4 linked regions of the Medicago truncatula genome follow. The main gene of each other region encodes a partner of the protein of the gene in region 3 in a complex. Links are inferred from orthologs where the notes say so. Each region holds a gene or a part of one and is shown on either strand. Other genes may lie near its edges. The genes, in order: protein PLASTID TRANSCRIPTIONALLY ACTIVE 7; protein PLASTID TRANSCRIPTIONALLY ACTIVE 12, chloroplastic; protein PLASTID TRANSCRIPTIONALLY ACTIVE 14; thioredoxin-like fold domain-containing protein MRL7 homolog, chloroplastic.

Region 1 (7,480 bases), on a different chromosome or scaffold from region 3:
TCAAAAATTAAAAAATAATAAATCTACTCAAAAACTAACAAATAAAAACATTTATAACAACTAAAATGTAAGTTAATAGCATTATAATTACTTACTTGTGATTTTGTTGAATAAATTTGGTTGGATTTTCTATAGAGATTTGTGAGAGAATTTTTTTTGAAGATAAGATGAATAATGGATGAGAGAGCTTCTGCCAGATTTGTAGCAAAAGATCCTCGGCAGTTAACTACCGAGGTTTTCCTCGGCAGTTAACTGCAGCCGGTTTTTAAATTCTTCGGCAGTTAACTGCCGAGTGGGCAAAAACGTATTTTACTCGTATTTCTCAGCCATATGAAATGTGTCGACAACTTTACTCGTGTTTCTCAGCCATATGAAATGTGTCAACAACAATTCTCATTATATAGTATTATATCAATATAATTGTGACAGTTAATATATATTACTATGTATTACTACAGTTAATATGTAGTGCTATCATTTTTCATTTCATTTCTTAAAAGAGAGAAAAATATCAAATCAGAAAGGACTATTAAAAGAGAGGATGAATACTATGAGAAATTGAGAATAGTAATAGTTCTTCCAATGCACAAGATACGGAATTAGATTTCCACGTGCTCTCGATGACTTTGATTTGCATGCATACAAACAACTGCGGCTAACTTAGACAGACATGAAGGCATCAACTGTGCTAAGTGAATCAAAGAAACAAGTTATTATCCCTAATGTAACATCTTAGCTTAAGAACTGTTATCTAAAGTTATGTATAAAACTCTTTCAAATAATGAGGCCCAGGTTTGAAGGGATCAGACTCAGCATACGCCTCTGAACGGTAAAATCCGGCATCATTCACCCGATTACTCAAAACATGAAGAATGGCTTTCTTCTCACCTCCATACTCATCCATGTTGCTCTCAACATAAGCATTGGCCTCGGCTGCTATCTCATTCACAAAATCATACTTATTATCTTCTGATAACAGTAACCTCTCTATGTCCAATTGCAAGAGTTTTCCCTCATCCTTTATCTTCCTCACCTGCTCCTCGAGAAAAGGAATGCGCTCCATTTTGTAGGGAAGAGATTCATCCTTTTTTATCTGCAGCAAAATGAGTTTCTGCTTAAATATTCAAGTTCATCGGGCCTGATACTCGTGAAACCTGTGTCAATAGCATGAATCATGTTCGCCAGCATAACCATTATGCATTCATTCAATCAATACAGTTAGAAATGAAGAAATAAAAGCATCTTGATATGCATACAGCTTCACTATGTGCATCAAGATTCAACGGAAAATGAGTATCTATTTTGAGTGAGAAACATGCCAAATACTGGGAGATGTGCAACCATGATAGAAAGAAGCAAAGACACGAATCAAATTTAATTTGGTTTATCTTTACCACATGAAAGCAGTTATCTTTTTTGCAAATCATTATGTTCATATCGACAAACACCTCAGTAGCAACAACAGTTGGGACATTAGGGAGTCCGGGGAATCATCACACTAGACCAAGAACAACTACATAATTGACTTGGACACCACATTTTAACCCAAAACATTAAGACATTGGGTGGATCCTCTGACACTTGATACACCAACAGCAACTACAACACTATAAAGGTCACATGCATGGCAAAGAATCCGCAAGAGAATGCAGCAAGGTGGTGATATCATGCAAAAACAAAGACATGAAAGCTTAGGCAAAACGACAGGGTGCAAATGTAAATATAAATGATGTGAGAACTACAAAATGTGATCCTTTTATATATCCTCTCTTGGCTCTTCTCCTCCTCATTCCCTGTCATGCTACATATTCCCTTACTGTGTTCTTTAATGAATCACTAGAGACTCTTGTAATACTTTTTCTTTTGTGAAGAATACAACATACAGTTCAAACACCACTTTTTTTTTTTTTTTTTCCTATGTTCCTCCTTGCAGCAACACATTGCAAATTACATCGCAAATGTTGTAGCATGTTTATTTACTTGGAACAGCAAAAACTATAACATACCTTCCAATATTCCCTTGCAGCCTCACATCACAAATGTTATAGCTGTTAATTTGGAACACCACAAATCTATAATCCAGATCGCTAATTCTGTTTCACAATTCCAGCTTACTTCTGTAAGTGTAACATGCAATCCAATAAATCCATCCACTACAAACTCTTTAACCTCTAGTCCCCTAACTTTCCAACTTTAGAATGTTACAATTATAAGTTTGAAACCTTTCCTTTCCGGAAAATGAGGAAACGGGGAAAAATTCAGCGCCTCTTCGCATTGAGCCTAATGTCCCAAGAGAACTACAAACACATTTACTCAACATTAATTCTTCCTAACCCTTCAAGCTAGATATATTTAAAATTAAAAATTTGTAACAATTTAGCCACTAATACTATTGACTACTGAGAAAGTTAGACAACACAATCTTTTCAATGCATTCTTTATTAATAGATGAAATTCATGTTAATTTCATTCATTTTATTTTATTATTATTATTTGGGAAATTTATACAAACAGGTAAGAGGCAAGCATAAAAAGAAAAACATTGTGAGACAAGAAAGATGGATGCAGAAGATACCATTTTCCTTCGCCTCCAGATTCTTCGTCCACCACTTTCCTTTCGCATTTGGATTACCATCTTGAAGAACAAATGCATGAACAAGTTCAGTTTCATGTTGCAAACAAAGAATTCAACAACTTTCAAAGTTATTATATTTATACCTGCGAGTTAACACTCAGGCTCGGGCTCCATGAATTTCCAGCTCTTAATTCTATCTTCTGCAAGAAAATTACAAGATTTTGAAGTAACAGTTTAGAAAAATATAAAGATTTGAAAAGAAAGATATGAAAATTACAGGTAAAGTCGAAGAGAGGGTGAATGTGTTGACGCGGAGAGCCATAGCTGGTATTTACTGTACTTTGGTTCGCCTTATCTCAAAACTATAAAGGAATTTTCTATATAATATTTGGATAAATAGTTTTTTTCTCCAAGAAAAATAATAATTTCCATCCCTATGAAATGAATAGTCATAAATAGTTCATCAATATGTTCATGTTTTAAAATGGTATTTGTGTACTAGTCAAAATAATTTCTAACATTAAGAGTCTCTCAACGGTGTATATAGGGACAGAATCAATTGACATCATTGGGTCAAATTTAACAATACGACACAAACGATTATTCTTTACTGTATAATTTTATTGCAAGACCGATTGTTTGATTGAAATATATTATAACATAAATCATATCTACAAAATTTTACATTAATCAAAAACTATTTGATATGTCAATTAAATACATCAAAATTAACTTGGTTTTCAATAGCTCATAAGACAATAATTTTGTGGTATCAATGAACATATAGAATAGTTTATAATTAATGTAAAATTTTGTACGGTAAAGAGTTATTGTCGATGTCATGTATTAAGTTTGACATGTTGGTGTCAATTGATCATATCTCATATTTTAACAAATGTGCACTTTTTCATTTTTATATAAAAATATCTTGTCAAATAATGCCACTAAAGCGGTTGTTGATAATAATCCTCTATTGGGATTTGTGGATGGTACTAATGTTGTTGATTCTATGCATCCAGAAGACATGGTTGCTCAAGGTAATGAGAATTTGAGTGATTTAGCAGGTACGGGACCCCTTTATGGTCAGGGTAATATTGACATGAGTTTTGATTCAGCTGACATTTTATGTCAAGATGATCATCAAGAGGAAGCAATATTAGATACAATTCCTTTGGGAGGTAACTCCATTGTGGTGACAAACTCAGACTTGTCAAACTTCAGTGCATCTGTTATTCATGACATGCAAGTTTTAGGAGTTGTTCCTACGGAGGCCCAACAAACGGTGAATTTTCTAAGCGAATCATGGGCTAACATGGCTCGGAACAATGAAATTGTTGATTTGGACGAAAATACGAGTCAACCATTTCAATTGGTGGTCCCTAGAAAGAAGAAACTCAAGAAGAAGCAACCTGAGACGGGCAGAGGATTCAAGGTGGGTGCTTCCAGCCGTTCGCCTCATTAGTTTGTTTTTTTTGGCTTTCTTTATGTTTTGGTTTTCTTTTGCTTTTTTGGAGGGTTTTGGTTTTTGTCCCCCCTGTTCTTTGTACTTTTTTCTTTCGTTTAATATATGTTTTGGGTACTGCAGCAGGAGACCCCTCTGCATCCCATCTTTTGCTTAAAAAATAAAAAAAAAATCTTGTCAAAAGTTTAAATTAACAAATCCTCGTGAGCTTATCTCAATTGGTAAAGATAATGCATAATTTATGCATGGATAGGGGTTCGAACTTCAGACACCTCATTTATTCACTTTAAAAAAAATGATTTTTAAACTGTTGAACCAAAAAAGAAAAAATATTAATGATAACTAAAAGACAAACATGTAAGTAAATTTCAATATAATTTACATCCAATTTGCTAATTTACAGCAACTTTATTTATGAACAAAAAGAATTAATGAAACATATTTGTATACATTTGTGTTTATTTTGATTTGTTTCATGTTTATAATTGTATCTTTCAAAATATAAACATGTTTATAATAAAGTAGGTCTAAGTTAGCAAAGTGAATTCAAGTTAACCAATATTTTTTTGATGAAAGTTACAAAATTAATTTTGAGATCAACTTTAATTACGTGGCAGAGTCTAGTTAGATAAATTTAATATCCCTGTCGTTATTAACTTGTTTTATTAAATAATTATTACTTTATATAATATTTAGTTATTAAAATAATTAATTAAAATATTATTTTTATATTTATTTTTTGGTAAAGATCAATATACTGTTATTTATTCATTACAATATTATTTAATTTAATATATTATCATCTAATGAATAAAACGTTATTAATATATTAATTTAATGATAAAAATATTTTGATAATAGATAAAATATTTTATGGAAAATGTTTTAATATTTTTCATCACATCCTTAATTTAGTATATTATTTTAATGATTAAAGGTTTACTAAATTAATAATTAAATATTTTCCATCACATTTTTAATTGAAATATTATTTTCCATCACATTTTCAATTTAATACGTTGTTTTAATAATGAAAATATTTTATAAAGCAATAATTATTGAATAAAACAACTAAATAATTTTTTTTAAAGAAAAACGAATGAATAATGACAATGTCAATAAATTTATTTTTTAAAATTTGATTCACATGTTTTTTTTTTTCTTTTTTGTTTTAAAAATAATTTTTTCTTCTAAAAATTTTAAAATATTATTTATTGTACCAAAAAAAATACACTCTTATAAGTAGGTGTCTCCCCTTTCATCACAAATCACAATCTTTCATACTCAACCTAATACTTTACTCATATCACTTTCTCTAATCTCATTTATATCATGTCTCGTTCATTACGCGTCATGGTTCAATTTGACCATATGAGAGATCCATTTGAAATGTATATAACTCCAAGAAAAACGTTATTAGGGTTGAATAGGCAACTTAGCCACTTTTATAACTTAGCTTGTAATGATCCTTGAAAAGTGACTCGAATTTCTTATGGGGAGCCTTTTATATATTGTTGGGAGATGGTAATGACAATGGCACTGTATATCATGAATTTAAGCTTATCCACAATGATGTTGATGCTTAAGACATGTTTTTGAACGAAGAAGGTAGAGAAAGAACAATTTATTTGTATGTTAAGTCTGAGTAGATTATGGTGGATCTCGACATTATGTTATATTATGTTTATTTATTTAAGTTGATGTAATTTTGCTTGAGTAGTGTTGTTTTAATGTTGCATTGTGTTTTTTTTGAAAGAAATTACATTTCACATTTATTTTGCCTTGTGTGATAATATATTTAATTTGCATACCGATAAATAATAATAAAATGACAAGTTAAAAGTTAATAACATTTATTGATGAGTAAGAATTTTTTTATGAGAATGTATGGTCAGCCGACACAATCCACGTTTTATCACCACTTTTCAGTCATAATGCAATTACTTCGGACGATCTCTTTTTAGTTTTTTCATGGTTAGATTGTGGCAAATGAAGATGCCTTGATATTGGGGCCAGTAACCCGAGTCTTTAACTACTTGAAACTTTGTGTTGTAGATGGCGTATTCACTTCATATCAAGACTACTCACAATCAAGTCACCAAGACCAAAGCTCCCAACAACCAACCAATCAATATTAAGACAACATACAAACCAGCTACCGATGTTGAGACTCCCAACAACCACATGAATACACAAGCCCCTTGAATCATACCCATATACAAGCACAACCCAACAACCACAATGGTCCCAAAAAGTGGTCGACAAAATATTGGGTAATTATCATGCAGTGAACTGTCTCTGGACTGGTTCTACCATTCACAATTGATTGACGCAGTTTGTCGAGTGTCGTCTAAATCAAATTGGAGGCTTTGCTCTAATATTATAAATGGGTCTGTAATATAAAAAATTAAGGGTAATTTGAACAATTAACAATTAAAAAAATTAGTTGGTAATAAAAATCACAAGTTAACACTAAATGTTGTTTTGATTTTAGTTTGCTTTGTTGCTAGTGGTAGATGCATGTGGTCTTCATTAGGTTTCACTTATTTTGTCCATTTATATGAGATAACAAGGGGCAACAAATAGAGGAACAACCAAATATGAAATGGCAAGAAAAAAGATGAACCATAAAAAATAAACAACTAAAGAAAGAGAAATAAAAATGGACCAATAGATAGATAAATCAACCTAAGAAGAAGAAGAAACAATCAAAGAGAATAACCATAAAAAAGAACAACCAAATGAGAAACAACCAAAGAATGAAAAATAATCTTATCAAAATTACATATGACCCAACAAAGACAACAATATAAGAAGAATTACCAACCAAAGAGAGAATCTGATAGAGCGATGAGTAACATAATAAGGAGAGACAATCGTATCAAACAATCATGCTAAAGAGAGGAACCAACATAGAGAATGTAAACAAAAGAAGGGACACTAATCAAAGAGAATGACCATTGGAGAGATGAACAACCAAAGAAGTAACAATCGTATTAATCAATCATAATGGAGTAACCAACCAATTGAATTTCAACCAAAGAAGGAACAATAATCAAAGAGAAGACAAAGAAATAGAAGAGCAACGAGAGAAGAAACAACAACCAAAGAGATGAACCAACAGAGAGACGAGCAATCAAAGAATGAGAAACAACCAAAAAGATGTATCAACATAGGGGAAAACAACCAAAATAAGGGTTTTCAACCATGTTAAAATGCCACGATGAAGAGAGCGACCGACCAACGAAGAATCCATTTGTAAAATTTTACCAAATCAATCAGACAACTTTCCCACAATATAACTCTAAACCAATAGAGAAGCACATTAATATAAGTATAAGCATACCAAAACAAACTCCACAATATAAGAAATCCAAGTTGCAAGAAACAAATTTCCTAAATATAGATAATACCTACAACAACATTTGCAATAAAAAAATTGT
Region 2 (6,858 bases), about 9.1 Mb from region 3:
CCTAACATAGCACTGCCATTGAGAGCCGATGTCTCGGCGACTGGCATTCTACGACGCTTTACTCAGCCAATTCCAATCAGCCCCTCCGCAGGTAGTCCTTTCCGAGCCACCGACAACCAGTTCTAATTACAATTGATAAGTATCTAAATACTTAGAAAATCCGCCCTTAAATACTTAGAACCAAACCACTTAAATACTCCACTGGGCACCCCATAATATCCAAGTCCCTATCAAGTTGATTATCAACTAAGCAATAGGGATCTCACAATTCATACCTAGTAGACTTTCATGTGTATAGGAGTATGTCTTAGATGGACAACTTATTCTCATGCCCTTCTCTAATTGCTTAAACTTCTATGCGTAGGATCTAGAGGTTGTTTGGCAAACAATACTAAATACAGTTGAATGATCATAGAATCATAAAAAGGAAGATAAAAGGATAGATAACAAGACGACTCAAATAAAATAAAAACAAAGACATGACAAACAAATATTAATTTCAAAGTCAATACTTTGCTTTATCTGATCCTCCCTCATTCTCATTGCTAAAGGATCCCTTCGGATGCGAACATCAGTCCCCATCATTACACGATACTCTCGGTCAGTTTGGTTGGAAAACATTTCAATTAGTTGAGTAGTTTCATCTTCACCAGTCTCTTCGAAATGCTTCTGAATAGCTTCATGAGATGTGTCTCTCTTCCATGCCTTTACCCATTCGGAATAGTACGCAATTGGACCAATCCTTTCCAGTTTCTCTTGCTCAGCCTCAAGCCTGCAAAAATTGGAAATTTTCAACATTTTCCTAGTAAATTTTTTCAGGTAACTCTCCTTATAACAAATTCCCATGACATATTGTGGTAAACTTTATCAGGTTACTCTCCTTAATCCATGATGTTAATCACATCAAGTAATTTACTCATTCTTCAAGAAACTACTGTTCAACCTTTCTATTGAGTTTCTTGTTTGCAGTACTTCTTATTTCTTATATGTTCTGCATTAAGATTCACTACAGAAAACGCCAGTTTCATTTCTATTCTAATCAGAACTATGTTGTGAGCATAAAAGTCCGCAATACCTTTCTTCCTTATAAAGATGGCGCCTGGCTCGGTAAAGAGCAGTTTCTGTTAATGTTGGTTCTTCACCATAAAGCTTTACTTGCCCAGTTTCTGCCATGGCTTTCAGGAAAACCTGAAAATATTATAGAGAAATTCAGACACAAGGTGTAAGACTGCACAAAACCGGTAAATGCATACACAGACACAAGCACACACATTGTAATTACAGCATCAAAAAACTTTTCCAAGACAATTTAATGCACACTAACCGTTTCAGTGTCAGGTCTCCTCCTTTGCCATCTGGACCATTGTTCTTTCTCCGGCTTTCTCCAATTCCACCACAGTTCCTCACTCGTAAGTGTTCCTTCTATCGGCTTTTTAATTTTCGGATCAATAAATGGATGAGGAGCTCCAAATTTCTTATCAAGTTTGTACTCAGTCTCTTCTTCCTCAGGCTCAGACTGATAAACAACATAGTCGGACGTGAACTCCTCAGAATCTTCTTGAGGTTCAACCAAAACCTCAGGAAGACCAGGGTCATCCAATTCAACATTCCCCTCAACGTTACCCTCAGAGGAAGAACCAGAAACCGAAGTTCTATAACTCTTCCTCCTACTACCAGGGTTACTACCATATGACGGAGAACCTAACGATTCTCCCATCGGAGTAGGCGCCCTAGCAGCCCTGACTTGCTCAACAGTTCCTTCAGGCCAATACTCAACTTCAGGAATACTTGCTCTAGCACCCGAGGCCGGCTCAAGCTGACCAGAGGTGGAGTCCATGTAACTATAATAAGGTGGACGTTCAACTGTCACATAATCAATAACTTCATCTTTATTTTCTTCATCTTTCTTTATTTCATCATTCTTTTCACATCTTATGCAACTATATGAAGGTAACTTCTTTCTTGATTTTCTGAAACCAACTCTACATGGTAAATTGCCAACACCCACCAAGTACGTTGATGTCTACATGGTCGCAAGCATTTTACACTATAAATTAGCTCCATATTACATGTTATAAAGTAATACAACATAGGGTCGGTTTGGCAAGCACGATAAGCTAACTTGTAGCTGCTAGCTTATAAGCTCGTATGACTAAAAAAGACTTGTTTGGTAACTATCATTTTCTCACGAGGTAATCTTAATTGAAAAAAAAAAAAAACTTAATATTAATTGAACATTTCTTTTTTATTTCATATTTACAAGCTAGTTCAGCGGCCAACTTTACCAAACATTATAAATTCAATCAGCTACCTTATCCGCTATCAGCTAACTTATCAACCATCCATTATGGCTCTGTTTGGCAAAAAAAAAAAAAAAAAAAAAACAGCGCATAGTTGATAAGCTAACTTATAATGGATGAACTTATACCGGATAAGCTAACTGATTGAATATGTAGTGCTTAGTCAAATTAGTTGTTGAAGTAGCTTGTAAATATGAAATGACATAAAAACTATATGTTTAATTAATATTTAAAACTTTGAAAGAAAAAGTAATAAGCTATAAGCTAATTGAATTAACTTAACAAAATAAGATATTAGCTAGTAAAAATGTTAAAAAAACGAGTCTTTTTTTTTTTCTTTCTAGCAAACAGAAGCATAATGAAACAAGATATATAACTTTAAAGGAAAATAAGTGATAAAATATGTAATTCTTGAGTTTATTCAATTCTAAAATTGATTTTTTTATATATATGGTATGAATTAATGAAATGTAAAGTGGGTTTAAGAAAGAGTATTGAAGAAACCCAGACGGTAAATAATTAAAGTTTGGAAGATGCTAACCTGAAAATGGTTGAAGGACAAGTTGGGTAGAAGATTGGCTTGAATTAAAGACATAACGGTGCCGTTTTGCAGAAGTTCAAACGTCGTCCGGAGAGGGAGAAGAACTCAGAAGCTCGCTCAACTCATCTGTTCTACCTCTATTGCTACACTACCTCCCTTATCATTTTCCATTTTTCTCTATTTCCTTTTTTAAAATGCTTAATATGTTTTAATTAATGTCTAAATGTTTGAATAAATTTTAGTGTGTTTGATTCTAAGGTAACTAAAATTGATTTTGAATAAATTCATTCTCACATGTTTGATTGTTTTTTTTTAATTTTGCTTGAATATATTTATAGTTCAAATTTAAATGAAAGAGAAGAAATTATTTTATGGGTTTAAATCTAGTTGAAGAAGAAAATATTAATCTATCTACTAACATTTATAACAAAAATAATCTCTTCATTTTAGTTTATAAGTTTTGTACACAAATTAAAAAATTATTTAATTGATGATGTGCATTTTAATAAAATACTCTTGACGATCATTAATTTTTTCTCACAAAACTATCATTAATACTTATATTCCATTGTTTTAAAACAAAAATAAAACGTTAAAACTAACATTTAAAAAGAAGGCTCTTGTTTCCTTAAAAAAAAAAAAAAAATCTTGCTACAACATTAAAACTTTAAGGAAGAGTCTTTCTCCATTTGGATTTCCACAAAGTTGAAAGAATCAGTTTCAATAATTGCGCACAAATGATTCCAAATTATAAAAAATACACTTCTAATTTTTTTTAAATCAAATAATCTAGCCACCATATGCTCACGGGACACATTTAATATATATTTTTTACTCGCACACATATAATAATTAAAAAATAAAAGTTCGATTGTTAAATACACATAACCGTGTCCCGTGAGCTCTGCTCGGTTGGTAGGGACAAATGCATTTTATATGCAGGGGTCGGGGTTCGAACCCCGGACACCCCACTCCTCCACATTTAAAATGTGTGAGCTCCAGCCACTAGGCTACCTGACCAAAAAAAAAAAAAAATACACATAACCGTTTTTATCGTTGTTTCAGTTATTAGGCCTTAGACTTGCCACCTGTGAATCTGAGGAGGATGGTCACATTCACTTCCACCTTTCTCTTCCTTCTCTTATCTCCTCTCATTTCATGTCTCTTGATTTTATCAACCAATCTTCAAACAATTAATCTGTAATTACAAATAAATCCATGTAATGGCATCCATGAAGCTGGGATCAAAGCCTGAAGCTTTTCGTCGTGAAGGTCAAACATGGTCAGCACTCATTTCTCTATATCAACATTGATCCTTATATTATTATATATAATATGTGACATTAACAATGTGTGTAATTTTGTTGTTGTTTTTGTTAATGTTCCCTATCTCAAAATAGAACCTTAAATTTCATTTGATTTTTTTGGATAGTGAGAATAGGTTTCTCAATTGTATCTACAAATTCCCTTACTTATTGGATAATTGACCATGATCTTATCTTGTTTTTTAATTTAAGGGTTTGTACAACAGGACTTCCAAGTGATGTTACTATTGAAGTTGGCGAAATTTCTTTTCTCCTCCACAAGGTACTTTTTTATTTAACTTTAAAACTTATTGCACACTTTTTCTTATAAATCCACTCACATAGTACCTCATACCACCCTAAAATAAGTGAAATATTGTTCTTAATGTAACATTAGTTAATTTATTTCAATATTATCCTTAAGTTAATTATTAGAACAACAATTAGTAACTAATTATTAAAGAAAACTTAAATCGGAAACAATTGAACATGATCGTTTGTTTATGTAGTTCGACCAATTGTGCCTACCTTTGTGACTAAATTTGTATATTACTTGAGTGAATTAGAGTTAATAACTAGTAACAAATGATTAAAGAAAACTTAAAATTGGAAACAATGGAATGTGGTCGTTTGTCGGTTCGGCCAATTGTGCCTACCTCTGCGACTGTAATTTCGTATATTACTTGAGTGAATTAGTGTTTACAGTGTTACAAGCCATATATATAGTACTACGGTTCATATTACAACAATACCCATGAACCATATCGGAGGGAGCTACGCTAGCTCAACTCCCCCGCCCCTTGCCCCTCCTATGTGTCTATGTATGAGCCATATTCAATATTAATATTATGTACATCATCAAATTTTGTGTGAGACCCAATGAATCAGTGGACGCGATTTTTAATATATCGAGACTCGTTCAAATTGCAACAAAAGTACAAAAATACAGTGAAATGTGTGTTAGAGAGTGTTTTTCAAAATTTCTATTATTTATAATTAAATTTTTGTCTTTGTTGGTCTATGCAGCATGTTAAATTAAAGTATATAATTCATGTTGGTGATTAGTTTTTTTCAACATTTGTGATTTTGATGCAGTTTCCATTACTTTCTAGAAGTGGACTACTAAAGAAACTAATTGCAGAGTCCACAAGTGAGGATGGATCAAGTAGTATTTTGCAACTTCATGATGTTCCTGGTGGAGCCAAAACATTTGAGCTCATAACAAAATTTTGCTATGGTGTGAAATTAGAAATCACAGCATTGAATGTAGTTAGTCTAAGATGTGCAGCAGAGCATCTCCAAATGACTGAAAACTATGGTGCAGACAATCTTATTGGTTACACAGAATCTTTTCTAAATGAAGTTTTCAGCAATTGGCCAGACTCCATCAAAGCGCTCGAGACATGCGAGGAAGTGCAAAACTTTGCAGAAGATCTCCATATTTTTTCTAGATGCATTGATTCCTTGGCTATGAAGGCTTGTTCGGATCCAGATTTGTTCAATTGGCAAGTGACAGGCCGTAATGACGCGAAAAATCAAGAGGAACATGAGTTGTTGAATGGAATGTCTTGTGAGAGTAAACCACAGTCTGTTGGTGATAATTGGTGGTTTTATGATGTGTCTTTGTTGAGCCTACCATTATATAAAAGATTGATTTTGGCTATTGAATCAAAAGGAATGAAATCGGAGACTATTGCTGCATCTCTTATATATTACCTTAGGCGGTTTCTTCCCTTGATGAATAGACAATCAAGTTTCAAAGATACAAATCATGCAACAATCCCTACAACTTCTGAAGCTGATCAAAGGGGTTTACTAGAAGAAATTGTGGAGTTGATTCCTAATAAGAGAGGTGTCACATCCTCTAAGCATCTCCTTCGGTTGCTCCGAACCGCAATGATATTACGTGCAAGTCCATCATGCAAAGAGAATTTAGAGAAAAGGGTAGGAGCTCAACTAGATCAGGCTTCACTTGTGGATCTTCTCATTCCAAATATGGGATACTCGGTCGAGACGCTTTATGATATAGATTGTATTCAGAGGATTCTGGACCATTTTATGTCTATCTACCAGCCTGCATCTTTATCTGCTTCTCCATGTATAACTGAAATTGGAACATTAATTGCTGGGGTTGATACGTTGACACCGATGACAATGGTCGCTAACTTGGTAGATGGATATCTTGCCGAAGTCGCTTCAGATGCTAATCTAAACCTGTCTAAATTTCAGGCACTTGCTGTTGCAATTCCTGATTATGCCAGACCCCTTGACGACGGTATATACCACGCAATAGATGTATACCTTAAGGTTAGATCATCTTGTATACCTTCCTTTGCCAATTCCATTTTTCATATGCACTCCTTTTCTATGCTTCAAGATTGTAAGATGTTTTGGCATAGTAGAAAATTTATGAAGAACTAAGATTGTGGAGGAAATAGTGAGATTTGTGATGATTTCAATGTTGATGAATTAATGAGTAAAAAAATTGTCCCTAAATAAAAATCATAGATTAAATTTCTATGTACATTTTCTTTCCTCAAAATTCTAATTACTGCTACTAAGTGTTGAGAGATGAGAAATAAGAGTTGAAGATGTCATATACAAGATGATATTTTGGAAACATCTATACACAAAATCGACATATTAAATATACTACTACTTTGTTTAATATATGTAAAAATCACAAAACATGGTTATAACAAGAAAAAGAGGT
Region 3 (7,108 bases):
CTATCTAGTTTAGGCCAAACAATATTATAAGAATAAAAACAAAATCTGCACTCAGTAACGTTTAATATAAGAAAGGAATCACGAAAAGCATACTTCAAAGAAGTATAAAGTGATTTACCTCATCTCCCTTTCTTATCCGTTGTCCAGCATTTATAAGAACCTCAAGCATCCTGTCCTTAAAACGCCAATGGAAAAAACAATTTGGCTCAAACGAATGGTTCAGCATATCTGAAAAGCAAGACTAAGTTAATCAGTTACCTCTGTTGTTGTTTTATCAAAAAGGAAAGAAAAACTTTACATCAAATGTGAAATAAACAAGAACCGCTACTATGCATGAGTAGAAAATGATACAATAGTTGGTTAGACCATTTGATGTGAACAAAGCTTACCAGCATAAGGAATCAGCATATTCGCTTGTTGAGTTAGTGCACACATTCTCATTTGCATGTTGATACAGCGTGACTGTGCAATTCCTACTGCCCACATGAATCTTTGAGGATCACGAGCAAGACGTTTTACTTTGAGCGGCACACCACTATGCTGAACAAGAGTAACACCATTTGTTGAGAACAAAAACTAATTGATATGCATCATAGAAGACTAAAAATTTCAACAAGGACAATTTTCTCTCTACCCAGTTCTTCTCCCAGAATTCTAACACTCGTTGTTGCTGAACTCTCATTGTAGAAGCAAGATCGGGATCCTGCAGCTCCAAAAGTTCCTCCTAGATATACAAATCAACATGAGATGTCGTAAAGTGAACTCTAAAACTGTGGTATGTTCCAAATGTAGCTATTCAAATCTTAAAATTACAAGATACATCTGATGCTGGCTAAATATCAACCAATGGTTTAATGATAAAGAAAATCTATTTTTTATGCACCTCTGTAGCTAGAAGTAAGCTAGTACTTTCATCTTCACTGGGTAAGAAGTCACCGTAATACTGCCAAAAGTTGTCTTTGCAGTCAAATGAAAACAAGAGAAGGCATGCTAATCGTAAATCCCAATCTGTCTGCCACAAAGATTTACACAATTACTTTAAGCAGATAACTAGAAAAACTAACGGTTTTGATTTTTTTGAGTATATACAACAGTTACAATACAAATTGGTTAAATATATTTTACCATGAAAACAATCAAGAAATCAATTATATCATATTTTGAACTAATGACTTCAGAGGAGAATTGCAATTACCTCTGGATTTGTTGAGTTGATAATATCAAATATTGGATGACCAAGGGGAATTATATCAGGGAAAAACATCCATGGTAGTTTCTTGCTTATGGTTAGCATCAATTCAAGAGGAATTTCCATTATAACCTGCCCAAGTTCATCGTTAGGGAAAACAGCCTTGGACAACTACTCAGAATATAATCATGAAGAACATCATACAAATAATTAAACTAACATGTAAAATACAAATTAGGAGTTGATTATATGTGCCGTTATTTTCATTATGATGCACTGCCACCAGTCTTACATAGGATTTGTATGAGGCTACTCACCCTTGGTCGGCGAAGAGGTTCGACATCTTTAGAAGCATATACACCGAAACCATTTGGCCCTTCCATAAAATCAACTCCATAAGCTCGCATACTTCTGACGAATCCTATCTTGTAGAAATCAGGATCTACAGGCTCCAACTACAGGAACAAATAAATTAACACAAAGAAACAATATCACAACTCAATATCCCAATTTCATAAAAACAGACGACCCTTTAAAGAATTCATCCAAAAACTGGCCTTATAGGAATGAAGATACTGCATCTCAAAATTAACTTTACTCTATTATACACACAAAAGCACATCAAATTATTGAACCATCCAACATTTTAAATTGCAATCACAGTCAACGTTTTGTTGCAATCTTTGAAATTGCAGAAAACTCTGAGCAATCATGTAGCAGTGAGACTTTAAATTTAAGGCATGTCCGAGTGTCCGACACTGACACGACATTGACATGTGTGTTTATATACAATCACTTTCATCGTCTAAAATTATAGGTGTCTACATGTCGATATCTGTATAATGTCATGTTTCAGTCCTTCATAGACAAATATCATTGATGGGGCCGCAAATGCAGTAACAAAGGTCTCTAAAACTTTCACATTGCAGTTGCAATATCAATTAAGAACCTTTATTCAAAACCTTGGAAACAACATTCACTCACTCAACTCAATCAACCTGTTGGGCATAACTCATAGTTAATGATAAGTGAATAGGTTGCTCGAGCGAAACAAGAGCAACTGGGGTAACATTATAATCTGGACCGTAGTCTTTGAGTACAAGTTGTATACTCTAAACTCACAGAAAGGAATCGCAGCCGCTCTTCTTTATGTAGACATAGGCACAATTGACCGAACTTTGTTACCAAACATCATGTTCCATTTTTGCATTTTTCGTATCTTTATTTTCTTAAACCGAGCTGTTGTTTTAACACATTCCAGGGCCGGCTTAAGGGTAAGACTACTAAAACACTCCCTTTATGCCCACCAACAAAAAGGTCTCATATGCACCCAAAAAAGGTAACATTCTTTTGCATATATAAACTAATTTAACATTCCTTAGTCCTAGTTGTTACTTTCAACCTATAAATAAACAAACAAGGTGCAAAATGGGTTTTTACCTGAGAAGCTGTTTCTTCATCTTTAGGAGGCTGAAACAAGGGAAATGGGGCAGTTTCGACAGAAGCTTTAACAGGTTGTACTTTGTTTTCAGCACAAGAACCAAAAGAGTAAGTGGGTCGCCACAAATAACCATGGCGCAAACCTTTGAACTGTTTAGAAAGTAAACAAGTATTAGTTAAAAGTTATTTGAGATTTGAGAGAAGAAAAAGATGTAAAAATGGAAAGGGAAATGAAGTGAAGTAAACTGAACCTGGGTTTTTGAGAAGAAACTTGTTTGATAAAGTGGAAAAGAAGAAGCCATTGAGTGAACTCAAGAGTGGAAAATGGTAAAGACAACGTTATCCAGCATTTTATGTTCCTTCTAGAGTGATGTCACGTGTTTTTTTTTTTTTTTAAAAAGGCTTAAATGTTATTTTGGTCCTTAATATTTAATTGGAAAATGATATATCGTACGAAAATTTTGAATACGGAATATTACGGACGCGTGAAAACCTGTTAGTGCTACGCGCTGCTGTTTCTTTGTCAAAAACAAACAATATTAAATTAAATAAATAATAAAATCCTTTAATAGAAATGAAAGTGAAACCCACCGTTCACCAAAACAAAAACATACAGAAAAGAACCCACGTTCACCACTCCCGCAGCAATTATCTCATCTTTTCCGCTAATCAAAGAATCTGATTGACATTCAATCTCAATTGTTGTGATATAAGGTCGTCGTTCTCTTTTTCACGCTCTTGTCTCTTTGAATCAGGTCTCATATTCATTCTCATGTAACTCTGTTTTTGCTTACCATCATAGCTTCCATTGATTCATAGCACTAAAGCAGAGTATTTCAGTTTTAATTTACCTACAAGTAAGTATTTTGTGTATTTGTTGTTTTTATAGATTATTAGAAGGAATTTTGTGCCGATTGATTGATTTTTCATTTACTTTACTGTGTTAGTCAATTAATATAGGTTTTTTTTCTTCTTCTAATTTGTTGTGTTAGTGCAAAAAGGATTTGAGTCTTGTGATGAATTGGAAACTAATGATTGTTTAGAAGCAAATGGTACTTGTGAAGAAGAAACACCTTGTGATGGGATGTCATTCGGATCTGAAAAGGAAATTACTGAGTATTACAAGAATTATGCTGAACGGGTGGGTTTTGGAGTTAAAAAAATAAGTTCAAAAAAAGGAGATGAGGGGAAAATGTATTTTACTTTAGCATGTAGTCGAGCTAGAAAGTATGTGAGTCGCCCAAAGAATATGTTAGAGCCAAATCCTATAACTCAAACGCAGTGTAAGGCTAGATTGAATGCGTGTATTTCTTTAGACGGAACAACTAAAATTAAAAGTGTTTTTTTTGAGCATAATCATGATCTAAGTCCAGGGAAAGCAAGGTATTTTAGATCGAACAAGAATATAGGGGCACAAATGAAGAGGAGGTTAGAACTCAATGACCAAGCTGGGATTAATGTAAGTAGAAATTTCCGATCCTTTGTTGTTGAAGCAGATGGGTATGAAAATCTCACATTTGGAGAAAAAGACTGCAGAAACTACATAGACAAAGTAAGACGACTACGACTTGGGACAGGAGATGCTGAAGCAATACAAAATTATTTTGTGAGGATGCAAAAGCAAAACAGTCAATTTTATTATGTGATGGATGTGGATGATGAAAGTCGGTTACAAAATGTGTTTTGGGCAGATGCAAGATGTAGGGTTGCATATGAATATTTTGGTGAAGTCATAACTTTCGACACCACTTACTTAACAAATAAATATGACATGCCTTTTGCTCCTTTTGTTGGAGTAAATCATCACGGTCAGTCTATGTTGTTGGGTTGTGCTCTGTTATCAAATGAGGATACTGAAACTTTTACTTGGTTATTTAAGACATGGTTGGAATGTATGCATGGAAGTTCTCCAAATGCCATAATCACTGATCAAGACAGAGCAATGAAGAATGCAATTGAGATTGTCTTTCCGAAAGCTCGTCATCGGTGGTGCTTATGGCATTTAATGAAAAAGATTCCAGAAAAGTTTGGTAGTCACTCTGACTACGAGTCTATCAAAACACTTTTGCATGATATTGTATATGATTCTTTTACCAAAAGTGATTTTATGACGAGGTGGGAAAATATGATTGAGTGTTACAAACTACAGGATAACGAATGGTTGAAAGGGTTATTTGTTGAGCGACATCGTTGGGTCCCTGCATATGTAAGGGACACATTTTGGGCTGGAATGTCAACTACACAACGAAGTGAAAGTATGAACTCGTTTTTTGATGGATATGTAAGCTCAAAGACAACATTGAAGCAATTTGTTGAGCAATATGATAATGCATTGAAAGACAAAATTGAAAAGGAAAACATTGCTGACTTTCGTTCTTTTAATACAGTTATTTCTTGTATTAGTCACTTTGGCTTTGAGTTCCAATTCCAAAAAGCATTTACCAATGCAAAGTTTCAGGAATTCCAATTGGAAATAGCTTCTATGATGTACTGTCATGCATGTTTCAACAGATTGGAGGGTTTGGATTCAATATTTTATGTTACAGAAAGTAAGAAAGTATATGACACGATGAAAGATATTGTGTTGATGGTGTTCTTCAATGAAAAAGACTTTGTGTTAAAATGCACCTGCTGCTTGTTTGAATTTAAAGGCATTTTATGTAGGCACATCCTTTGCGTGCTTAAGCTCATAGGGAAAACAGATTTCGTGCCATCTAATTATATTTTGGCACGGTGGAGGAAGGATATAAAGCGGAGGTATACACTTATTAAATGTGGTTTTGATAATTTGGCTGGAAAAACTGAATTGCAACGCGTGGGTAAAGCTTGTGATGCCTTTTATGAGTTTGCTTCAACGAGGATAAATAGTGACGATGATTTAGTGAAAGTGATGAAATTGATTCAAAACATGAAAATTGAGTTACCATGTAATGAAACATCTCCTAGAATTGTAGAAGAAGATTGTTCAACTCAAAATCAAGCTACCATTCTTGATCCTAAACTAGCTCGAAGTAAAGGGCGTCCTCCTTCAAAAAGGAAGACTTCTATAGTTGATCAGATTGTAAAGAAGAAGCTTGCACAAAAGAAAACTAAAAAAAGAAACCAAAGTAGTAAAAATATTCAAGTTCAAGAAGAGGTGAGTATGAAATTTATAGCAAGTTGTTTATATTATAGGTATAATAGTTGAGATGTCTAATTTAATAATTTTTATGGCAGGGCCAATGTACATCTAGAGGTCAAGAAATTGAAGACGAAGTGTTTTACATATCTCAACTTGGTGATAGAATTGGCACACAAGAGAGCATTCAAGTAAACAAAGCATATACTAAATATTTTAGTGTAAATATTTCTATGTAAATATTTTAGTGTGAACATAGTTCTAAATGGTTGAATGGTACTATTTATGCAGTTGAACACAGTAGTGTGTGTGTGTACATGTGGGTGTGTCTAATTATAGTTTTTTTTATGACAGGGACTAAGATTGCATGTAGTTCAAAATACTACAAATGAAGAGTTTCTTAGGTATCAAATTTTTGATGGGACTGGGACACAAGACAATATTCAAGTAAACCTGATTTCTTACTTTCATTTAATTAAAAATGATTGGCCTTTTGTTATTTGAAATATTCAATATGATATTGCATACTATTTATCTATGTTTTTGCATGTTAATATCTATGACAGGAGCATAACTATGTTTGTAGCAGTGAAAATGGTAGTGTGAATACTGTAGCTTCCTTCAATCCAAATCAAGAACATTTTGGTCAAGTAAACAAGGTGCAAATATAGATTTTGGTGTTGTCTTGTTTTTATTTGACATTTTTATAATGAACATAAGTGGTTAATTATATATTCTTTGCAGGCTCCTTATTACTCTCGGGTCACAAAACCATAACACTGTTGTTTTTGGTTTGAACTGCTGTCTGGTTTTTCTGCAATCAAGGCATGAGGGTCTGCAGGATTGTTGTTTAGTGATTGTTGTTCTGCTGTTTAGTGTTTGCTGTTTTGCTCAAGCAAGTGTGCGGCTGCTTGAAATTGTGTTGGAATATGCTGTTCTGCTGTTTAGTGTTTGTTGTTTTGCTCAAGCAAGTGTGCGGCTGTTTTGGTCAAGCATTATTGTTAGATGGAATGGGTTGTTTAGTGCTAGTTGTGTGCTTTTTTTTTGGTTCAGTTTTGTTGCTGCTTCAGTGTTTTTTACCCTTTAGCAGCAACCAAATTTGGAATATAAAGCTTCTGTTTTTAGCTTTGTTATGGGTGGTTTTGGTAGGTGGTTGTATTAGTGTTCATGTGTACTCGTTACTTCTTGTTTGATTTTATCCGCGAGATTTTCGTGTTCCTTACACAATCTCGACGAGAATAATTTGCCGATTAAAAAAAATCTATAGCTTTTATTTGGAAGGAATATCATGTTATTGATGCCAAAAGAAATACTAAAGAATATTAAAACTTGAAGTACACAAATTGATGTTAGATGGACTT
Region 4 (7,026 bases), on a different chromosome or scaffold from region 3:
TTCTCAAAGTAAGAATCTCTCCCTTTGGATTCGCCAACGAATGGCGATTATTACATTAAACTTGTGTTCTTCAATGAATGTGCATTTGGTTGTATCTGAATTTATTTTGATTTTTTTAACATGGACAAAAACAAAAAGATTTTAAAAAGTTTATGATGGTTTAAGATAATGAAAACTGTATTACTTTACAGCCAGACAAATCTCAAGGAAAAGATTTCATATTCGATTTTCCTACCACATGCATTTTCAAATTTTGATCCATCACACAGACAGGCATGGCAACAAATCACTACCATACTCGTTTTAGATGATCAATTGAGAATGGAGGCTGGTCAACAAGATTTTTTTTAGGTTGGAATAGTTTTATATATTTAATTTCATATATTTCATCATTATTGTAATATAGAATTGCAGTGCTACAAGGACCATGTGACATTGAAAAAACAATTAATGACGTAAATACAAGGCCTTATCATCAACCCATGCAGGCTTCTTTGCATTGTAATAGAAAAATGCAATCATCTGAACCAGCTCATCCGCAGTTCTGAGTTCTGCAAAGACATAAGCAACAGTGCATCATTATGAGGATAGAACATAGACAGGAAGAGAGTGCATGCCTTGATGCCAAAACCAAACAAAAACTATGCTTCTGTTACACATTGAAGGTGAAGAGAATGAACAACAATCTCACCTTTCTCCCTGTACACCATCTTATTCCCTCGTAGAAACAAAATTTGAGGACATTCTCGAACTTTCAGGGCATAAGCCAAGTCTTTCTCGATGTTAATGTCAATCTTAATTGCCTACAATAGGAAATTTAAAGTAATACGTGATTATGGAAAACATAAGAGACTCCAGGTGTTATATGGTGAGGTTACCGCTTATAACACTTGTGTACTGATAAATAAAGGAAAAGATAAATCTAACTAGTGACTAGTGAGTGATCATGAAGTAAGGTTTATAGTGATGAAAAGCAGTCATCAATTTTTTCATTTCAGGTAATGTAATAGATGAAAAATGCAGTTTTAGTACACTGAAAAGAAATTGACCATACCCTGGGAGGTAAGCGATCTTTAGCACTCCAGTACACCTTTATTGCTTTCTCCAACTCTTTCAAATTTTTCCAGTTATCATTTGCCCTGTGGAATAGCAAAATCAAACACCAAAGGCTGGATTAAGCTATAAGTTGTTGGGGAGTCTAGAAGCATCAGGAGCAACAGCAAGCTGACTAGAACATGACATATTCACTCAAAAAGCATTGAGTATACAAAGTCACCTTTTTATATATCATTTATTTAGTCCAATCCTAACTAATGTGAGACTAATCATTCACATTTTAATTCCAACATAGGTACCTAGGAATTATTAAATCTATCAACATAACATTATATTAATGTGAGCATTTACATACACTCAAATTTTAAAATAAAAAATACATATAACTAACACAATTGTTACATAAATTAATTTCTAATACACTTTTTTATTTATTCCTACATTCAACCTATTGGTTTTTTGCCTTATAAATTACAGTACCTACGAATAAATTACAATCATCTTTTGGGAACAACTGACATCTTAAAAGCAAAAGGTAAGTAAATCATAGTCAACACAATATTTTGAAAATTTGGATTTTTTATAGAGAAGAATCAATTTCATGAAAGCACGTTAAGACTTAAGACATTATATACCGATTAAACTGAGTCTATAGTTGGACAGAAGCACTCAAGACTTGTTCACATGACTTCAAGCATATAACCAACAAATGCATGTTTTCTTTGAAAAGTGAGCATAAAAGTATATATCTTATATATGAAGTATTGCCTGAAATTTTACCATTTTTAACTCCATCAAAACCATATAAGAATAGGAATTAGTAGTACCTGTTATAGCGTTCAAAAACAAGTACGATTAAAGGGCTTGGATGGAAAGCAAAACTCTCCCACTCCAAACAATTGATCTCCTGAACCCAATTATCCTCAGTCTCCCCTTCCCAATCAATTTCAGCACCATCATCTCCTACAACATTCTTAATTGGATGCTTCTCAAAATACTCTGAAGCTCTTATTCCCCACCCGACATCTGTATCTAATGGCCAGCTCTCACTCTCTTCCTCAATCACCGCCTTCTCTCCACCACCATCTTCCTCTTCTTCCACCTCCTCCTCATAACTATCATCATTGCCCCGTTTTGGTTTTGATTCACAATCATCACCAACACTGTCCTTCATTATATCTTTATGATTCTCTAAAGCACTCGCATTTTGTTGCCGAATTGCAGCAAACGTGTTTTCCAGTCTGTCACGTACAAAATCTTCCACTTTCATCGCCTCACTTTTACGACCACGCCTTGGCTTCCTTGGAATTGTTGTTGGAAATTCATCCTCAGAATTTCTATCATCTTTATTAATGGATACACCATCTCCACTTTGGAAAATTTTCCCCTTGTTTTTTGGTCTTTGTTTGGATGTGGGATGATTAGGTTCGGGTTCGGGTTTTGAGCTAGAGTTAGTTGAAACAGAACATGATATTGAAATAGGCTTTACAATGTGATGAGTAGATAAAGTGGAATAAGATAAGAATCTCGAATGAGAAAAAGGTGAGAACGTTCGAGGCATAAGAGCTGTTTGGAGAATCAGCATTTAGTTGAATAGAAATTGAAAACTATGGTTGGGTAATTTTAACAAACAGTTGGTGCTCAAAACACGCGGGAACACAAATATTCACTAAACTAACTACTTACTATAATTGGGGTTTCAAACAAGTCGTGAAAAGAAGCTTCTGAGAAGAGAAGAGAAGAGAAGAGAAGGAACAAATATATACCTTGTTGTAGCTGTGATTATTTGAACGTTCTACTTTTCTTTTCCCTCTTCCTCCTAGCTCGTTGCTTTTTGGTAAGGTAACCATGCTATACTACTCAGTTTTCTGTATCGCCGCGTATGTATAACATCTTTTAATCCATTTCGGTAATTACTACTTAATAGTTTGAGCCATGCTACTTACACCTCCATAATTAGTAAAGAGGAATCACTTACAATTTGAATTCTTACATAAATATCCTAAGAAAAGAATATGCATCGTGTTTTTGTAATAATTAGTTAATCCTATGATTACGAGTCTTGCAATAAAAAAAATAAAATAAGAGTCGTCGTTTTATTGTTTATATTAAATAGTAAAAGATTTATTATAAAGTTAAAAAGAAGTATCTAAGTTTATGGCTAAGAGTAGACTTAGTTTGTTGGCGTATATCTGAGATATGTCTAATAAATGTTGGAATATTATTAAGAAATGTTTGACACTTGTGTTCAAGGCATCTATGAGAAGTGTTGGTGTTCAAAACGTATTTGACATGCAAGCATCTTAGCATGACCCTAATAATTTTGTTAACAACAAATTGATGTCGGGGTTATTATTGATCAGGTCAAAAAACTTGCTAACTTTTAGGTCAATTTTCTCTTTGATTCTCTATAATGTTAATATAAACTAACTCAAGTTGACGTTTCTCTTAACCATATAGATAATCAATATAGAGTAAGTTTTTGTTAACAATATAGAGAATCAAATAGAAGAGTAATCCAAAAACTCAAGGGTGAGATCCAACCCATTGAACACTTTCTATAACACCGTGCTAAGGTTTTTCATTGGCTAGCTCCAAATAAGATATGAATTTAAATATGCAAGTGTAAAAAAAAATGCAAAATCACTAGCACTACTGACAGAAAATGTCCCTTCTAAAACATGGTTAGGGTGAATGGTTGTAACTTGTAATTCTACAATTAGTTTTGTTTTTTCCAATGATACTTGTTAAACAATTTTTATACTTCATTCGTACACACATCACTGGTTAGTGTCACTTATTTTCATAACTTTGGCAGAAATTTATTCTATCCTATATTATTGTAGTTATAATCTCCAAGCTTCCAGAGACAAGGATTGATTGTCTTGTTCATCCCTGGCTTATTTATTTATGCACATGAAAAACTTAGCTAAGCTAAGAATCTTTGAATCTTTTTTTTCCTTACAAGAACCTGTAACTTATAGGAGAATAAGCGAACTGTATATTCTGCTAGCTTAATTCAGCTAATTCCTCTTTCGTGATCTCTAGCATAAATGCAACATAATCAAATACCTGTATGTAAAATGAAATCAAGAATGTAAATTTATCAGAATCGTTCCCTTTTCTTCACATTGCTATAAAAAATATCCCCAAGTTGTTTATTAAAGAAATAACGTTTTATAAATTAGGTCGAGATCAAACCAATGGTTCAATCGGTTCAACTATAGTTGAAATAGATGACAAATACATACACTAATTAATCGATTAAAAATAAAAATAAAAATGCAAAGATAAAACGGTTGAACCAAATGTGGTTCAACTGCGATTCAAGTAGACTGCAGTACAACTAGGATAAAACCAACGGACAAATTGGTCAGTTATCGGATCGGTTCAACCGGCATGTTTGGTTCAATTTTTGACACATTGATTCTAAGGCTTGCCACCCTTATCCATCAAAGATAACAATACATTTCCATCCCTGAAGTTAATCAAGTAATAATTTACATCCCTGAAAGTATACAACCTCCCTTAGGCAAAAGAAACCTACTGGTTGAATTGGTTTCATAAAACCTTTATACATGAAACTATATCATGAGAAAGATTTCTGTGTAATTTGAAACTAGAAGCAGCAGAGAGGTGGATTTTGAAAGCTTCGAAGAGGGACAATGCAACATATTCATGTATTAATTATCATAAAAAATTATTATTTTTCCATAAAGCGAGCACAAACTTGGAAGTTTTTATATTCTCGTATTAAAAAGCATAAGATATCTCCAAGAGAATGATATAATAAGAGATGCTTAATTTGAAAGAATAAGGTGACAAGAAAGGAAAATACTTGAGCAACTTACGTTATGAATGTTATCAGCATGATTGCGTGTTTCCTTTGGCAACATTGAAGCATCGGTTAAAAATTGGTACAAACTAGCGGAAGAAGTGTCGGCCTAGTTTGTTAGCGCATATCCAAGATATGCCAAATAAGTGTTTGAACGTCACTAAAAGATGTTCGACACAGTTGTTTAAGGTGTGTCCGAGAAGTGTCGGTGTCCAAAACGTATCTGACATGCTAGCAACTTAGCATGGCCCTACTAGTTTTCTTAATAACAACTTGAGCTTGGGGTTATCATTGAATTTGCATGTGCCAAAAAAAATGCAAAATTCACCTGCACTACAGACAGAAAATGTCCCTTCTAAAACATTGTTATAACAACATTGTATGAATGGTTGTAACTTGTAATTCTATAATTAGTTTTGCTTTTCTCCATGATACTTAGTAAACAATTTTAAAATTCATTCATACACACATTACCAGTGTCACTTATTTTCATAAATTTGCTTATATGCCTAGGACTTCACGTGGCAGAAATTTATTCTATCCTATATTATTGTAGTTCAAATCTCCAAGCTTCCAAATCAAATGATTGACTGTCTTGTTCATCCCTCACTTATTTATCCACATGAAAAGGACTGCCTGTCCTTGTCTGCAAGAGAATTCATGGTCACTAAAGTCTGCTCTGAACCGATAGTTCATGCTTCATTTGATCCCTCATCACCCTCCTCAGGATTTTGTTGGAAGATGTTCGAGGAAACTCGGGAACTATCTTAACAACGCTTACCTGAAATAATGTAATGAAAAGAGTTGGTTGTGAGCATTAGTTACATCAGTTAATCCCAAGTCAGTTCAGTTTTCAGTTTTCAAATAGTAAATAATAAGCTTCAATCAATTCATAATTGTTCAAATTCAACGAAAGGGGCAGACCTTAAACAAAGGATTTAGGTTACTTTGAATAGCTTTAGAGAATTTCATCCTTAGATTTTCCGCATTTGAATTGTATCCTTCCTTTAGAACTACAAATATAACAAGCTGTTCTGGGCCCCTATTTGCAGTTGCAACACCGACTGCAGCTGTCTCCAAAATGCACTCATCAGCCCTGTCACATACACGCTCAATTTCTATTGAACTTGTCTGCATATCAACAACAGAAAATTCTACGTGTAAATAACATTATCCAGTCCATATAATGCCAAAGAGCGATGTTCATGTTAAGTTAAACATACTTCATTAAGCCCAATAAAAGAATTAAATACACAGAAATTCTCCTCTTTTTTTCCATTTTCTCTCCTGACCTCCCTGGATTATGATTTTGACTACGCTCAGATTCATTGAAATTCGTAGTAGTTTTCTTATTATGCATTCTTCCTGAAAGAGTCACACCTTTATTCCACCAAGATTCATGGTGTCATCAGCCCTCCCCTGTACGATGATATAGCCACCAACCATTCTCTTGATTATATCTCCATGTCTCCTAAGAACCTGCTAATACATATATCATGATAGACATGACAAGTTATAGCAATAATAGCAGAACGAGACTAGCCAAAATTACAAATTAAGCCTATGTAATTTATAATGGATTGTTTGAAAATCCTTAATATATATCCAACTAATATACAGTACTTTTGGACATTTGATTTATCCAAAGTTCAGAATAAAAGATTTTCCTATCTTTTACGTCAAGAGTTGCACATGAAAACAACCCTTAAAAGCATTCAGAACACATGGTGAGTATATGTTGCCCTTCCCGAATGAAAGAACTGATATTTCAAAGTAGTTGTATTGAAATGTGTTGGTATTACATGACAAAATGGGAAAATCATTCTAAGCATACTAATTGAAGTAGTGGATACCTTTCCTTTATACAAGGGCATTCCCTTAAAGTAAACCTCATCATGGTCGCCATTCAGCAATCTATCAGATGCTCCAAGAGAGACAGGGAATAAACCCACTTCACCAACACAAGGAACATTTTCTGGCTGTCGTATTGGTCAAAGAGAGCAATAAATCAGAAAACCTATCAATAAGTTTAAGAGTGCAATAGAGACTGAAAATTACAAGAAAAGGTTTGCGAACATAGGGCTAGCATAAAAATAAGATTTGTACAGAAACAAGTATTGAAAATGATTCATGTG

What was found.
Region 1: protein PLASTID TRANSCRIPTIONALLY ACTIVE 14 (region 3) and protein PLASTID TRANSCRIPTIONALLY ACTIVE 7 share a complex: the UniProt entries of both Arabidopsis thaliana proteins name them as parts of the transcriptionally active chromosome (TAC) complex. The link is inferred for Medicago truncatula from reciprocal best matches to the Arabidopsis thaliana genes PTAC14 and PTAC7.
Region 2: protein PLASTID TRANSCRIPTIONALLY ACTIVE 14 (region 3) and protein PLASTID TRANSCRIPTIONALLY ACTIVE 12, chloroplastic share a complex: the UniProt entries of both Arabidopsis thaliana proteins name them as parts of the transcriptionally active chromosome (TAC) complex. The link is inferred for Medicago truncatula from reciprocal best matches to the Arabidopsis thaliana genes PTAC14 and PTAC12.
Region 4: protein PLASTID TRANSCRIPTIONALLY ACTIVE 14 (region 3) and thioredoxin-like fold domain-containing protein MRL7 homolog, chloroplastic share a complex: the UniProt entries of both Arabidopsis thaliana proteins name them as parts of the transcriptionally active chromosome (TAC) complex. The link is inferred for Medicago truncatula from reciprocal best matches to the Arabidopsis thaliana genes PTAC14 and MRL7.

What each region holds. Positions count from the first base shown.
Region 1 is NC_053044.1:45,255,938-45,263,417, reverse strand, and holds protein PLASTID TRANSCRIPTIONALLY ACTIVE 7, read right to left. Parts: upstream 3,002-7,480; 5' UTR 2,898-3,001; coding exon 2,853-2,897; intron 2,776-2,852; coding exon 2,719-2,775; intron 2,636-2,718; coding exon 2,576-2,635; intron 1,094-2,575; coding exon 758-1,093; 3' UTR 528-757; downstream 1-527. UniProt on the Arabidopsis thaliana protein: Essential for chloroplast development, especially for thylakoid formation. Involved in plastid gene expression, probably by maintaining plastid-encoded RNA polymerase (PEP) activity.
Region 2 is NC_053043.1:5,999,500-6,006,357, forward strand, and holds the start of protein PLASTID TRANSCRIPTIONALLY ACTIVE 12, chloroplastic, read right to left. Parts: upstream 3,028-6,858; 5' UTR 2,896-3,027; coding exon 2,842-2,895; intron 2,024-2,841; coding exon 1,325-2,023; intron 1,189-1,324; coding exon 1,076-1,188; intron 773-1,075; coding exon 513-772; intron 1-512. Other genes in the region: BTB/POZ domain-containing protein At5g03250, read left to right, coding at 4,065-4,123, 4,359-4,428, 5,241-6,452. UniProt on the Arabidopsis thaliana protein: Involved in plastid gene expression. Acidic transcriptional coactivator necessary for the transactivation of many PIFs target genes (class B genes), particularly during the regulation of hypocotyl growth.
Region 3 is NC_053043.1:15,106,430-15,113,537, reverse strand, and holds the start of protein PLASTID TRANSCRIPTIONALLY ACTIVE 14, read right to left. Parts: upstream 3,014-7,108; 5' UTR 2,932-3,013; coding exon 2,881-2,931; intron 2,780-2,880; coding exon 2,630-2,779; intron 1,645-2,629; coding exon 1,507-1,644; intron 1,322-1,506; coding exon 1,196-1,321; intron 1,013-1,195; coding exon 884-1,012; intron 725-883; coding exon 635-724; intron 541-634; coding exon 390-540; intron 229-389; coding exon 119-228; intron 1-118. Other genes in the region: protein FAR-RED IMPAIRED RESPONSE 1, read left to right, coding at 3,486-3,486, 3,622-5,765, 5,846-5,938, 6,102-6,194, 6,314-6,406, 6,492-6,524. UniProt on the Arabidopsis thaliana protein: Essential for chloroplast development, especially for thylakoid formation. Involved in plastid gene expression, probably by maintaining plastid-encoded RNA polymerase (PEP) activity.
Region 4 is NC_053049.1:39,794,132-39,801,157, reverse strand, and holds thioredoxin-like fold domain-containing protein MRL7 homolog, chloroplastic, read right to left. Parts: upstream 3,021-7,026; 5' UTR 2,642-3,020; coding exon 1,884-2,641; intron 1,140-1,883; coding exon 1,055-1,139; intron 804-1,054; coding exon 692-803; intron 552-691; coding exon 448-551; 3' UTR 342-447; downstream 1-341. Other genes in the region: probable acyl-activating enzyme 18, peroxisomal, read right to left, coding at 5,559-5,672, 5,816-6,022, 6,272-6,373, 6,745-6,870. UniProt on the Arabidopsis thaliana protein: Plays an essential role in early steps of chloroplast development. Involved in the regulation of plastid gene expression. May positively regulate plastid-encoded RNA polymerase (PEP) activity through binding to FSD3 and CITRX/TRXZ.